Linked DNA regions of Drosophila melanogaster. The gene in region 2 interacts genetically with the main gene of each other region. Each region holds a gene or a part of one and is shown on either strand. Other genes may lie near its edges.

Region 1 (5,765 bases), on a different chromosome or scaffold from region 2:
CTGAGCCAGAATGCGGAGTATCTGGAAAAGCTGCAGACCTACGGAAAGGCATAGGGAGATATGGGGAACTATTGCTTACTATTTTATTAGTATTTTGAGCACGAACCAAATATATTGACTATTTATAATTAAAACAAAATTTTGCATTTCGTTTTTATGAAAAGTAACAGTTAGCAAGTAAGTTGGCAACGCGGTGCTAGAAATATCGATAAGCGATAGGTGGTAGTGCATTAGGTCAGTAAGCCGCCGGTGTTTTCTGTTATCGACTGAATGGTATTATTGTTGTGAAATTTAAAAACATAGTCGCTGAATTTAGGTAAATAAACTTGTTTGATGGCTTCTAACAAGGTAGGTTCACAAATAATCGCATTTAATGTTAAGGTATCTCCATTGTTTGATTTCCAGGAATGCCTTATAATTGTACTGGATGTGCGAACATGTGCCGCCGAAGAAGTGAAGCTGAAGTCCGCAAAATGTGTGGCGGAGATTCTTAAGGACAAGGTGTGTGAAATACAATTGGGAACTCAGTTAAATATGCTAACTGAAACAATTGCAGATCGTGTGCGATAGGAAGGACTACGTGTCCTTCGTCCTCGTGGGTTGCGACACCGATGAAATAAAAACTGAGGATGCTTCCCACCCAAATGTGCTGCCCTTTGGTGAACCAAGACTTTGCAGCTGGCAGCTCTTGCTGGAATTCTTCCAGTTTGTGAATAAGACAGCCTGCGAGGATGGAGAATGGCTAAATGGTCTACAGGCGGCCCTGGAGCTTCAGAATGTCGCAACTACGTATGTGACTTACCTTATCATCTAACCATCACATTTTATGGAATATTCCTTGCAGCTTGAGAGTCGCCAGGCGGAGGATCCTCCTGCTCTTCGATTTCAACGACTTTCCACAGGACTACGAGAAGTTCAACGAAATCACGGACGAATTACTTGGCGAAAACATCGAGTTAATTGTGGGGTAAGATTATTTATTTTGTTAAATGCATAATAGTAATAATAATTTACATTATCACTTAGAACTCACAACATAGCCTACATAGACAATGCCATCACTTCTCAGCCTCAGGCTATTTTCAACTTTTCGCGCAAATGCGGCCCCGATGAGCTGAATAACCAGAAGTACGCCCTCAGTCTCGTTCCTCGCTGCAATGCGACGTTGTGCAGCTTCAAGGAGGCACTGCATACCGTCTTCAAGGTGACCAACCGGCGACCCTGGGTGTGGAACGCAAAGCTGAACATCGGCAGCAAGATCTCCATTAGCCTGCAGGGCATAATCGCCATGAAGAACCAGACGCCCGTAAAGCTGGTAAAGGTCTGGGCGGAAAAGGATGAGATAGTGATACGGGAGACTCGTCATTATATCAAAGGCACTGAGATCACCCCGCTGCCGGAGAATCTGATAACCGGTTACATGCTGGGCGGCACTCCGGTGCCATACGACGAGGCCGTGCTAGAGCCAAAGGAACCACACCCACCTGGTCTCCACTTCTTTGGCTTTATCAAAAGAAATGCCGTGCCGGATGAGTACTTTTGTGGCGAGTCCTTGTACCTCCTGGTGCATCAGAAGCACAATCAATCTGCCGCCGTGAAGCTGGACGCTCTGGTGCGTGCTCTCGTTTCTTCGGATCGGGCCATACTGTGCTGGAAAATATATAGCACCAAGTTTAATAGACCGCAAATGGTTGTGCTACTGCCCCGCTTAGCAGACGATACCCATCCGGCTACTTTGTATATGCTGGAAGTTTCCTATACGTCTCAGCACCACTTCTGGGACTTTCCGGCACTGCGAACCACCAAGACGGAGTGCAGCGAGGAACAGCTGAATGCCATTGATCAGTTAATCGATAGCACCGATCTGGAGTGCACACTGCGGGACACGCAGCAGCCACGTCCGTGGGCGCAGAATGATCTGCTGCCGTTCGACGCACTTCCCAGCATCTTTGAGCAGAATGTCATGGACATCCTAGAGCGAAAAGTTATCTATGATAACGACAAGGAAGACAAAATGCTTAAGGACAAAAACTTCGCAGATGTATTCTGGCGAGTGCCAGATCCCTTGGAGGAGAAGTCAAAGAGAGCGGCAGCCATCGTAAAGAAGCTATTTCCATTGCGCTATAGTCGCGCCTGGCAGGAAAAGCTGTTGGCCAAGGAGCAGGCAGAGAATGGTGTGGCAGTCAAGTCGGAACCAGCGGAGAAGGAAATCCCGTTGCCATCAGACGGTGTGGGCTTAATTGATCCAATCTCTGATTTCAGGCGAGTCCTGGCTAGCGTTCACACAATCAGTAATGCCACTGAGCGAGATGCCCGCTTTCAGGCGCTGGCTGCCGATACCCGCGTGGTGATCATCACACTGCTGCAGCGCAGGAAACAGAACATCGGGCAACTGGGCGAGCTCATCACCCTGTACCGACAGAGCTGTATAGACTTCAACACCTTTTTGGAATACGACAAGTTCGCTGAGGAGCTGAAGAAGATCGCGCTGGCCAAGAATCGCAGCGAATTCTGGCAAGACGTTATGGTCGACAAGCAATTGGGCCCTTTGGTGCTTGGCGAGCCGACGCTGGACGACGAATTGGCTCTAAAAGCCTATTACACCATCGAGAATTGGGTGGAGAGTGGGGCGAACGATATGGAAGACGTTGAGATGTAGTTTATCATTCCATTTTGTTATATTAAGCAAATGTGCTAAAATTAGTTTTTGTTATACACAGTTTTTCTTATATGTAAGTCGAAAATAAATTATTATATTGTTTATATATATATACCAGAGTAAAAACTCGGTCGCATGTTTTAAAAACAACATTATATCCCTGGGAAACCACATCCAAATGATGATGATAATACATCTCTATGTTAATAAACATCGACACGCAGGAAGGAAAACGTTAGTAATACTTCTTATGATTGAGAAAAAAAAGTAAAATAAATACAATTTTCAATTCCAAATTTAAACTGAATACTTTTTGAAAATGGCGGCAACAACTTGTTGTTTTGCACTTATCGATATTTCCAAAAATCATCGGAGTGCGCATACCAATTAATCGATTCGGAATTCCGCTCCATACAGCTGATTTTAATCAGCGCTTTGGCAATAGAATTTAGTCAAAACCCGAGGGCATACTGTACCAAACTGTGGGGCTTCTGTTGAGGATTAGCCATGGGAGTTCCCACAAGCGATTGGATATACTGGTGTCGCCTGTGCGCCCGCGACGACGTTGTATACAAAGTGCGCGAGCGGGACGACGATCTGGTTAGGATTATCAGCAAATGCTTTGATGTGGAGGTATGTTATTCGTTTTCCCAGCCTACAGATAGCTTATACATTAGTTTTCCACACACGCAGATGACCCTCGAGGAACCGGAACTGGGCAGCATGTTGTGCGAGGAGTGCTACTCGGTGATTGGCCAGCTGATCACCTTCTCGGATAGCGTTTCCAAAGTACAAGCCATTTTTGAGCTTCTGCGACACTCGGAGCCGCAGGATAGCCAGGACTTGGACGCCCTGCGTCTGGAATACGGCCTTCCGCCGGCCTGCAAGCAGGACCTCGAGTTCCTGGACATAGACGATACGGAGGATAGGTGTTCCTTGGTAGAGGAGCTAACGATATCAGACCATTCCACATCTCCGTCACCCGATTTTGAAGCACAGACCGTGCGAACACGAGCTAATCTCAAACAGTGTAATTCCGATCCCAAAGTGCTAGCCTCACCTACTGCATCAATTCCTGAAGTTGAAACAAAACGAAGTCGCCGACAGCAGTTTGCGGCTAAGCGAAATTCCAAAGTGTACACTGCAACCGAGTCGGATGATGAGGAGGCCATTCTAGACGAAGACGAGGCCGTATCCCCGCCGCCTTTGAAGCGAAAAAGAGGCAGACCCAAGGGCTCAGGCAAACAGAAAAACGTGGACGACAGCGATAACGTAACTTCCCGCGAACCAGACGACAATGCTAAATCCAAACAAGATGACAAGACATCCGAATTGAGCATGTCACCCCATGGCTCCCAGAGTTCGAATTTCGTCGATTATCCCTGCAAAATCTGCAACGAAACCTTTATGTCCTTCATGGCTCTGCGCAGGCACAAGCACGACATGCACGGCGGTCCGAAGAAATACGTTTGCGATCACTGCGGAAAGGGTTTGAAGACCTTCACATCGCTGGTGGAGCACCAGCTGGTTCACACGGAAGAGAAGCCCTGTATATGCCCCGTCTGCAATGCTGGTTTTAAGAACAAAGCTAGGCTGAGAGTAAGTCATCGAATAATCTTGTGGACCAACTAAATCTTGAAATTTGTATACAATTTCCAGGTGCACAGTCAGACACATGGTGAGCCCAAGTTTGAGTGCAATGTCTGCGGCAAAAAGCTGCAGACACGGGCGATTCTTAACAAGCACAAGTATGTGCACACGGATGAGCGGCGCTTCAAGTGCGAGGTTTGTGGCAGCGGCTGTAAGAACTCCACGGCCTTGAAGATCCATCTCCTTGGACACACCGGCCTCAGACCCTACGTATGCAAGTACTGCGGAAAGGCGTTCGCCAGCAACACCAACTGTCGCTCCCACAAATGGAAAAAACATCCGGAACTGGCGTCCAAGGAGGATGAAACCGAATCTTCACGTGTTCCAGTGCCAACATTGGAAGAACTGAGAGCGATGTAAGCTATAGTCATGCATATTATTATTATTAGCTTACTATTGTACTAAATTTTTGGTTTGCAGAACTCGCGAGATGGCCAAGGCCAAACAGGATTAGACCATGTTGGTTGACAAAAATGTATAAATAGCAGTGCGCAGTAAAATTTTATCCCAGAGACATTTACATTTACACTTAATTAAACACACAACTGCCCTTTTTGCATTTAAATTGGTTTTTAATAAGTTTCAAAATAAATTCACTTTTTAAACGCACACTTAAATTGGGAAATGTGTTCACACATGAAAATGACATTGTATAAAAGATAATAATTGTTTGACTCACAATGTAGATTTAAAAATAACAATTGTAATTTGTGACACCAAATTATGCGTACACTTTGAAACACTCAATTGAAACTCCTGTGAGCGGTTGCAGCATATTTTAAAGATGAGCGCTATTCATAGAACTCCCACGCATGGTTCACTAGATTGCGACAAGTTGGTCTGTAGATAATTCCAAGGGCTTATTCACAATAAAATCAGTTTGAAATTATAACTCAGCAAATGTAAATGCTTCGTGCTAACACCAGATACATTGACACCTAATTAAACACACAACGGCCCTTTTTGCATTTAAGTTGGTTTTTTTTTTAATAATTTCAAAATACATTTACAATTTAAACGCACACTTAAATTGGGGAATGAATGAATGGCATATTGATCACCTATCAATATTTTGTGCCACAACTCGGTGATAAAATAGTAAATATTAAGCGATTAAATAATAAAAATGTAACAAGAGAAAAAAATATAAGGAACAACTAAATTAATACAAATTAGATCATTTGTGAGTGGGTCTCTGTGTAGGATAAATATCTAAACATGTTTTGATTTCGATGGTTTCTCTTTAATTACTTGCTGTTTAGGTTAACACGTTGAGAAGCAAAATATTTTGGCATGGCCTTCCTCCAAACCGAGCAGAGTCAATAAATAGTGCATCCAAGTAGGTTGGCTCTCTATCCCTTCCACCTTCACTCACTCCTAGTCAATGTTCAGCGAGGACATTAACTCTTCGACGCTGCATGGAAATAGAGGAAAGAAAAAATCATGTTGATTAAAC
Region 2 (6,636 bases):
TGGTTGTGATGTAGCTGACATCAAGCACACAAAACTTGGCTCGGCACATTGGGCATGTGCACTTCTGCTCCAGCCACACCTCACGATCCACGTCACTTTGGCGAGCGGCAAACCAGCGCGCTAGGCACTCTACACACCACATGGGCCGGCAGTAGCAGTTTGAGCAGCACGCCCCGTTCGCCAAGGGAGCGCCATTGCGATCAAAGTCGGCACACTGCTTGTGGATCTTGGTGTTTGGTTCGTTTAGCATGCAGGCAAAACACTTTTCCGTAGTAGCATCATCTGGAAAAATGGGATTTTGGGCGACTTGCGCCTTGAAGACGTCCACAAAACGGTCTATAACATTGCGGTGTAACTGAATGTTGGAGGGAATTGCGATTGGTCGTCGGACTCGGTTCTCTAGATTCCTAAACTCCAGGGCATTAATTCGTATGTGGAAGTCGCTCACACCCTGCCTCATTGGCCGTACAATAATGCTTATCATCTGCAAGGTGTCGTTTTGGTCTTGATGCGATATGTTGTAAGTTTCTGCCTGCGGACAAAATATTAGGGTCGCACATACAAAGGAATCGTGTACCACTGACCTTAGCTACGCTAAGCGACGTGTTGCTCTGATGGGCGAAGTGAACATTGTACATGGTGGTTTTTATTATCCAGTTCTGCGTGGCAATCACCGAGCTAATGGAATTTAGCTTCTTCTTGTATATTTCCGGTTGCCGGAACTCTATACCAATTTCGCTAGCCACGGCACTGTAGCTGCCCGGCGTGATGGAGTACTTGGAGAGCGCCTTGCTGATCGGGTGCCGACGCCAGTTTTCCTGGTGCCAGTTGAAGATCAGAGCGGGCATCGCCAGAACGGCCAACACACTGAACCGCTGGGCGGTTTTCCACGTAAGCGTTTTAAACGCTACCGCTTCCTGGGGCATGGGGAAATCCGGGTCCAGGTCGAAGTCCTCCAAGGGCTCCTGCGTGGCGAAGACGGAGAACTTGAGCCTATGAATAAGAAAGTAGGAGAAGGGCAGACAGGAGTGCACGAAGAGATTCAGCGAAGTACGGCGCTGGTGGTAGCCTACAAAGTCCAGGTACTCTTCTCCCAGGAACCGAGCGAACAACTGTTCAATGGTGAATCCCAGGCGTTGGAACTCCTCTGGCGGGTAGATGATCACCATGCACAACAGAATATAAAACAGATTGAATAGCAGCTCCGACTCGTCCATGTTGCGAATAATTTCGGATTTTGTTTGGCTCAGTGGTTTCGTCGAACACTAGAGGTGTCCAACAAATTCCCGATTATTGTTCTTAAGATATCGATATTATGAATGGTACGCGATAGCACGGGACCAATATCGTACCGCGCCCGCCATAGCAAATGAGAATTTAAATAAAAACAAGGTGCGAGACATTTTTAATTGTCAGCAGTTTGAAGATCGACTATTCTGCGTGCCACGGGCACGGGGCATTAGAGCAAATGTGGAGTAATACTGTTTGCTGTTTCGAACAACAAAAATAAAACAATTAAAATCAAAAATTTGCAGTTATACGGAAAAGGCAATGGACATGTCATCCGAGGAGAAAGGTAAGTGTACATTTTGGAACGGACAACAGTGTATTAATTTAGTAACTAAACGAAACTAACCTGTGCACATAAATAAAATAGTACAAAAATTACATACAAAATGCATTCGTTCATTTGAAAAACCTAAAGTTTTTTCACCGAGAAAAAACAGTCGCCTTAAACTCTTGAACTTACAGCCCTGAAAAAGGCTTTGACTTAAGCGGTCATGTGGTATATTATCAGTATGAACGTCGAGAAAAACAGACAATGTTTTCAAAAATATTTTATTTGTATTTAGCCATTATATCGTACTTGTGAAATATTTTAGGCAACAATCAATTAATAACGAAAAATGTCATAAGATCGCAGTTTGTCCCAAGACAAAACTGTCACAGAAACCCATTATGCGTTTAAGGAAATTTATACTAGAAAATGAAGGAGTATTTCGTAAGTATACAAAATTTGTTAAATTTTGGTATTGGGTTATGGCTTTCTTGAAACGGAAATATTTGATATTGCCGTACTTGTCATGTACTGTCACGATTACAGACGTGATATGAACAAATCGTGCACTGAATCTTAGATTCTAGTTGGACCTCATGCATAACATAAGAAGGTCCACACCCAGCTGCCAAATGAATACATCTGGGTTGCATAAGTTATCGAACGGAATGTCATCTCCGCCGATGGTCGGTGCTTTTATCTATTGCTGCAGCTCACTCAAGTCTGGAATGTTGCAAGCGTAATCGTCGTTTGAGGTGGAGCTGGAGTCGTTGGTTAGCTCAAAGCTGTTATCACCACTGGTGCCAGTAACCGTTGTCAGGCTGGAGTCATTGTTTGAGCTCTGCTGCTCTGAGTTACTCAGATTTGGCAAGAAGGCATCTGGGTACTCTTCCTCTCCATCCTCCTCACCATCGTTATCATCGTCATCATCTTTGCTCAAGCTGCTGGAGCTGCTTCTGCTCTCAGGACGCAAGGTCTCCCTGCTGCCTTTACTTATATTCAAGGCGCTTATCATTGGCAAGTTGTTTGAGCTCGCCGTTGATGTGGTAGCCGTTGAAGCTTTCGCTGGAGCGTGATTTGGTCGAGAGTTTACATCTCCAGAATTATCAATTAAAAGAGTGATTCGCGGAATGTTAGGCGGATCCGTTGAGCTAGTTCTGTTGCTTGGGTTGTCCGACACAGTTGCCCGCAAATCACCAGAGTTCGAAATGAGTATAGACAGATCGGGGATGTTCATCGGTCGTGGCTGCAGCACTGGCTCCTGAATTTGTTCGCTGGGATTGAGAATTGTCAGATTGGGCACATTCGGGATGGTCGTCGACGTAGTTCCGGTGCCTGTCAATGTTGCAAAGTTGGAGTTAGTAGTACTCCTTTGCTGTCGTCGAGGTGGCGCTATGGGAGGGGTGTTTCCTGACGGCTGGGGCACACTCTTGTCCCGCCTCACAATGTCTTTTTCAAAGTTGTCCAGGTTCAGGCCAACGCTACCTTGAGCGTCTGCCCCAAGAGTGGCAGTGCTTGACTGGTATTTGAGGCTCAGCCCCTCGTTGTCCACTTCCATTTCCTCTTCCAGCAGCTCAAGGCTTATGAGCGCACCGGGACCGTCAACAGGCCGGGCAGGGGTGGACTCTAGAGAAGTCAGTGGATACACTTTTTTTAGTTTTGTCAGTTTAAGGCAAACATAGTCATACTTGCCATTTAGGAAGTCTAGTGCCACAAAGTCTGCCGCACTGAAGAGCTCTGCCTGCACCAGAAGTTGGAGCAATACCCCAACCGTGGGCCGCTCGTTGAGCTTGCCAGAGGTCTTCCACTCGTCGATCATCATCTGCGACTTGCTTTGGTCCGGCGGTAGTCGGTTTGCAGCCTCGTCAATCTGGAACACGTCCTGCGCAGTGTACTTAAATCCCTTTTTGATTTCCGCCGGAAAATTCAAGCATCCGGCTCCGCTGCAGGCCTGCACATCCATGCCCTTGGGTATGATCGACATCAATTTGCGCCAGCATGAGTTCTCATCTAGTATTTTGGCAAGCCGGTAAATGTCATTGTCCTCAACGCGTCGCAGCTCCGTGTTGCGAGAATACTTCGAGGATAAACCTATGGCGCCGTTGCTTCCGTTCACCTGCACGCCCATTCCGCATCCGTTCCAGCCATACGCCATGGTGTTCCCTTAGCTACCCAGGATAACCTTACGGGAAAGCCTTTGCCTGTGGCAGGTCGATGGTTCAAGTTCCCAGATGTCCAGTGCGATTGTATGAGATTTCCGCTATAAAACCATGTTTGCATCTATCTTCTCTCTCTATGTTTTTGCCAATGCCCACAGCTACTGCTCGCTGCTCGCAGTATTTCAGTGTGACCGAGGAGGACCGCAGCACCATATTAGATTCGTCATGTAATATTAGGGGGATTCCCGAAGCCGATTGGTATTGTGTGGTATTTCCGTATGCGGAAAATAGCTAGCCATTTGCAATACTGCACTAATTTTTAACGCAAAGTAAGAAAAAACCAAACTTTTTTTTTCATTAATGACATATTCCGGCGTTGTGAGCAATAAATGTAACCCCACCGATAGATGGCTTTCGTTTGTAATTGTAGAAGAATACCGGGTACCTGGTAGAAAGGAAATTCGAATAGACATTTACGTATACATATATATAAGTATTAAATATTCTTAATCAGTAAAAACAGACAAGTCGATATAGCCATGTCCGCCCGTTTTACGCGGGCGATGAAATAGCAGCAAAATAAATAATCGAAAAACCAAAAATAAACACTTAGTTCTTAGTTCTTTTTGATATTTTTGGACAATAATTAATTTTGATTTGTGATAGTTTCTGAGATCTCGACGTCCATAGGGACGGACATGGCCAGATCGATCCTGATCAAGACCTCTTCTACCTGCTACATATTTTTTAACTAGTCTGGTATACCCTTTTACTTCACGAGTATCGGGTATAAAATGCAGGAGTAGTATTACCAGGTGAACAAAAAGGGACATAAATATGGCCAACCGGGGCACACGTTCATAATTAATTCATAATTCATTATTCCAAGTAAAAAAATAGGGATATTGTTATTTTTAGTTCAGCAACATACTGGACCATATAATGGTATTCATATTTATTTTGTTGATAAAATTTTAGAAATTATTTTTTGATAAAAGTCTATAAAATGGACGGAATTGCATTTGTATCAATTAAGGGGCTTGCAAGAGAGCACGGATGGAATGTAGTTCTTTTTATAACTTCACTTACTCAAATATAAGGTCACTTCTTAGTATATGTATGTTCTTACTGCCTAAAGTTATGGATCTTAATTTGTGCTGCATTCATTGGCTTGTGTAAAGAAAGGTGCTAATGAGTAGCAATGTGCTTAAGATAAGAGCCGTATTGATATTGTGGCCATGTCGGGTATTTGCGCCGTTGCGCGTGGTCTTGCCCATCTGGAAGTGTAAAGTTGGACTGGACATGCGACCGTCTCCTCCATTGCTGTATGCGAGGACTCGCATGTTGTAACTCTTCCCTGGCGTCAGATTGTTGATGTACGACTCCAGTTTCTGTCCGATTGGCACTATGGTATTGTTGGCCGTAATCATGTTCTGGTCCGATTCCCAAATGCGAACCTAGAAAGTTTCAAACTGTAATCGATTTTCTTGGTCACGGTGCCGGGAGTTGTACCTTATAACCCTCTACTGGTTCCTCGTCTTGCGAAGGTGAAACATATCTCCAAACAACCCGCACGGTAGACGGGTTTATTCCATACACGTGAACCGAAGATGGCGGCTTTTGCGGGGCCTTTCTATATGTTCGTTCTAAAAAGCATGGTGTTTAAGCATTTTCTTTAAATGGTTTTTTAAACTGTTCGTTACACACCTTCAAAGCGTTCGCTTTCAGGTCCTTCACCTGCAGCATTGTAAGCCATGACTTTAACAAAGTAGTAAGTATCTGGTTGTAGACCTACGATAAGCGCCCAATTCCTTGTAGTACGTGACAGGTAGTATACCGAGTCTTCTTCCTGGTGCGTCGTTTTCCAATACTTCAACTGGTGAAAGATAAGGGTTTTTGACAATGCAATGGAATTAAGTGCAGTAACCATACCCTGTGGCCAATGAGTTTGCCACGAATGTTTTCACGGGACATGTCTATAGGTTGCCAAGTGACATTAAAGCATGTGGAGTTGTAGGCGAGCGCAATGGGCTTTTGAGGAGCCACCTGTGGCATGTCCTCAGCGGAGTGTATGACAGCTATTTCACTCTCCGGTCCCTTGCCAACACTGTTAATGGCTTGGACTTTGACTTCGTACTCCGTATAGTAGTTATTAAGAGGAATATTAACCACAGCCACGCCCATGTGATCCTGTTTTTTTATTTCGTCAGATGCCCATTCAATGGCTCCCTTGAGCTTCCAAAACACTTTATAGTGTATGCCGTGGCTATGCTGCTCTTGCGGTAGAAGCGGATCCCAGGTGATAGTTAGGTCGCCAATCTTTCCACCTCCACCACCCACGTTCCTCGGGGCTATGTATGGTTTGTCCTCATAGGTGCTGTAAATTGGCGAGGGGGCCGAGGGCGTTCCGATTCCCAGATCGTTTACAGCAGTAACACTAAATTCGTAAGCCGACCACGGCGTCAGATTGACAACCTCGGCTTGCTGGCGAGAGGTGTATCGATCTACTTCTCGCGCCTGCACATGGGTCGACACATTAACCCAGGTGCGATTCCAGTTTGTACGGCCTAGGATGTTGTAGTAGCGGATCGCACGACCGTTGTGCGATCCGTCCACCCACTCAATGATGGCCTTCGTTTTACTTATCTGTATGACTTGAACACCACCAGGAGCGCCAGGAGCTCCCTCAATAGAAACACTGGTCTTGCTGCTAATTTCGTTTACCGCCGACTTGACAACGCATTCGTAGTCCCCGGCATCGCGCATGCTCGTGTTATGCACTGTCAATCTGTTCCAATCTACAATCTGCAATAACAAAAAGGTTAATATAAGGACAGGTTTAGTGCAGATTTCAGAACATTAACTTACAATGCGTCCGGTGCCGTCGTGATTGTTTTTTAGGACTTCGCCGTTGTGTTT

The links. Genes that interact genetically often act in the same process or in processes that back each other up.
Region 1: of tub (region 2) and wek, changing one enhances a phenotype caused by changing the other (phenotypic enhancement), as found in Drosophila melanogaster (one study listed by BioGRID).

What each region holds. Positions count from the first base shown.
Region 1 is NT_033779.5:15,765,633-15,771,397, reverse strand, and holds wek (weckle), read left to right. Parts: upstream 1-3,048; 5' UTR 3,049-3,166; coding exon 3,167-3,292; intron 3,293-3,352; coding exon 3,353-4,258; intron 4,259-4,318; coding exon 4,319-4,665; intron 4,666-4,729; coding exon 4,730-4,763; 3' UTR 4,764-5,265; downstream 5,266-5,765. Other genes in the region: CG31826 (uncharacterized protein), read left to right, coding at 1-54; Ku80, read left to right, coding at 334-348, 406-501, 557-789, 845-967, 1,027-2,659; CG3793 (uncharacterized protein), read right to left, coding at 5,687-5,723. UniProt on the Drosophila melanogaster protein: Acts as an adapter to assemble/stabilize a Toll/wek/Myd88/tube complex; required for efficient recruitment of Myd88 to Toll. Dispensable for innate immune response; plays a minimal role, if any, in the immune defense against Gram-positive bacteria and fungi.
Region 2 is NT_033777.3:4,385,007-4,391,642, reverse strand, and holds tub (tube), read right to left. Parts: upstream 3,902-6,636; 5' UTR 3,714-3,901; coding exon 3,251-3,713; intron 3,185-3,250; coding exon 2,259-3,184; 3' UTR 1,830-2,258; downstream 1-1,829. Other genes in the region: CG14646 (uncharacterized protein), read right to left, coding at 1-532, 585-1,217; Cont (contactin), read right to left, coding at 4,881-5,174, 5,230-5,363, 5,425-5,593, 5,650-6,522, 6,586-6,636. UniProt on the Drosophila melanogaster protein: Plays an essential role in the Tl receptor signaling pathway that establishes embryonic dorsoventral polarity; the signal directs import of dl into ventral and ventrolateral nuclei, thereby establishing dorsoventral polarity.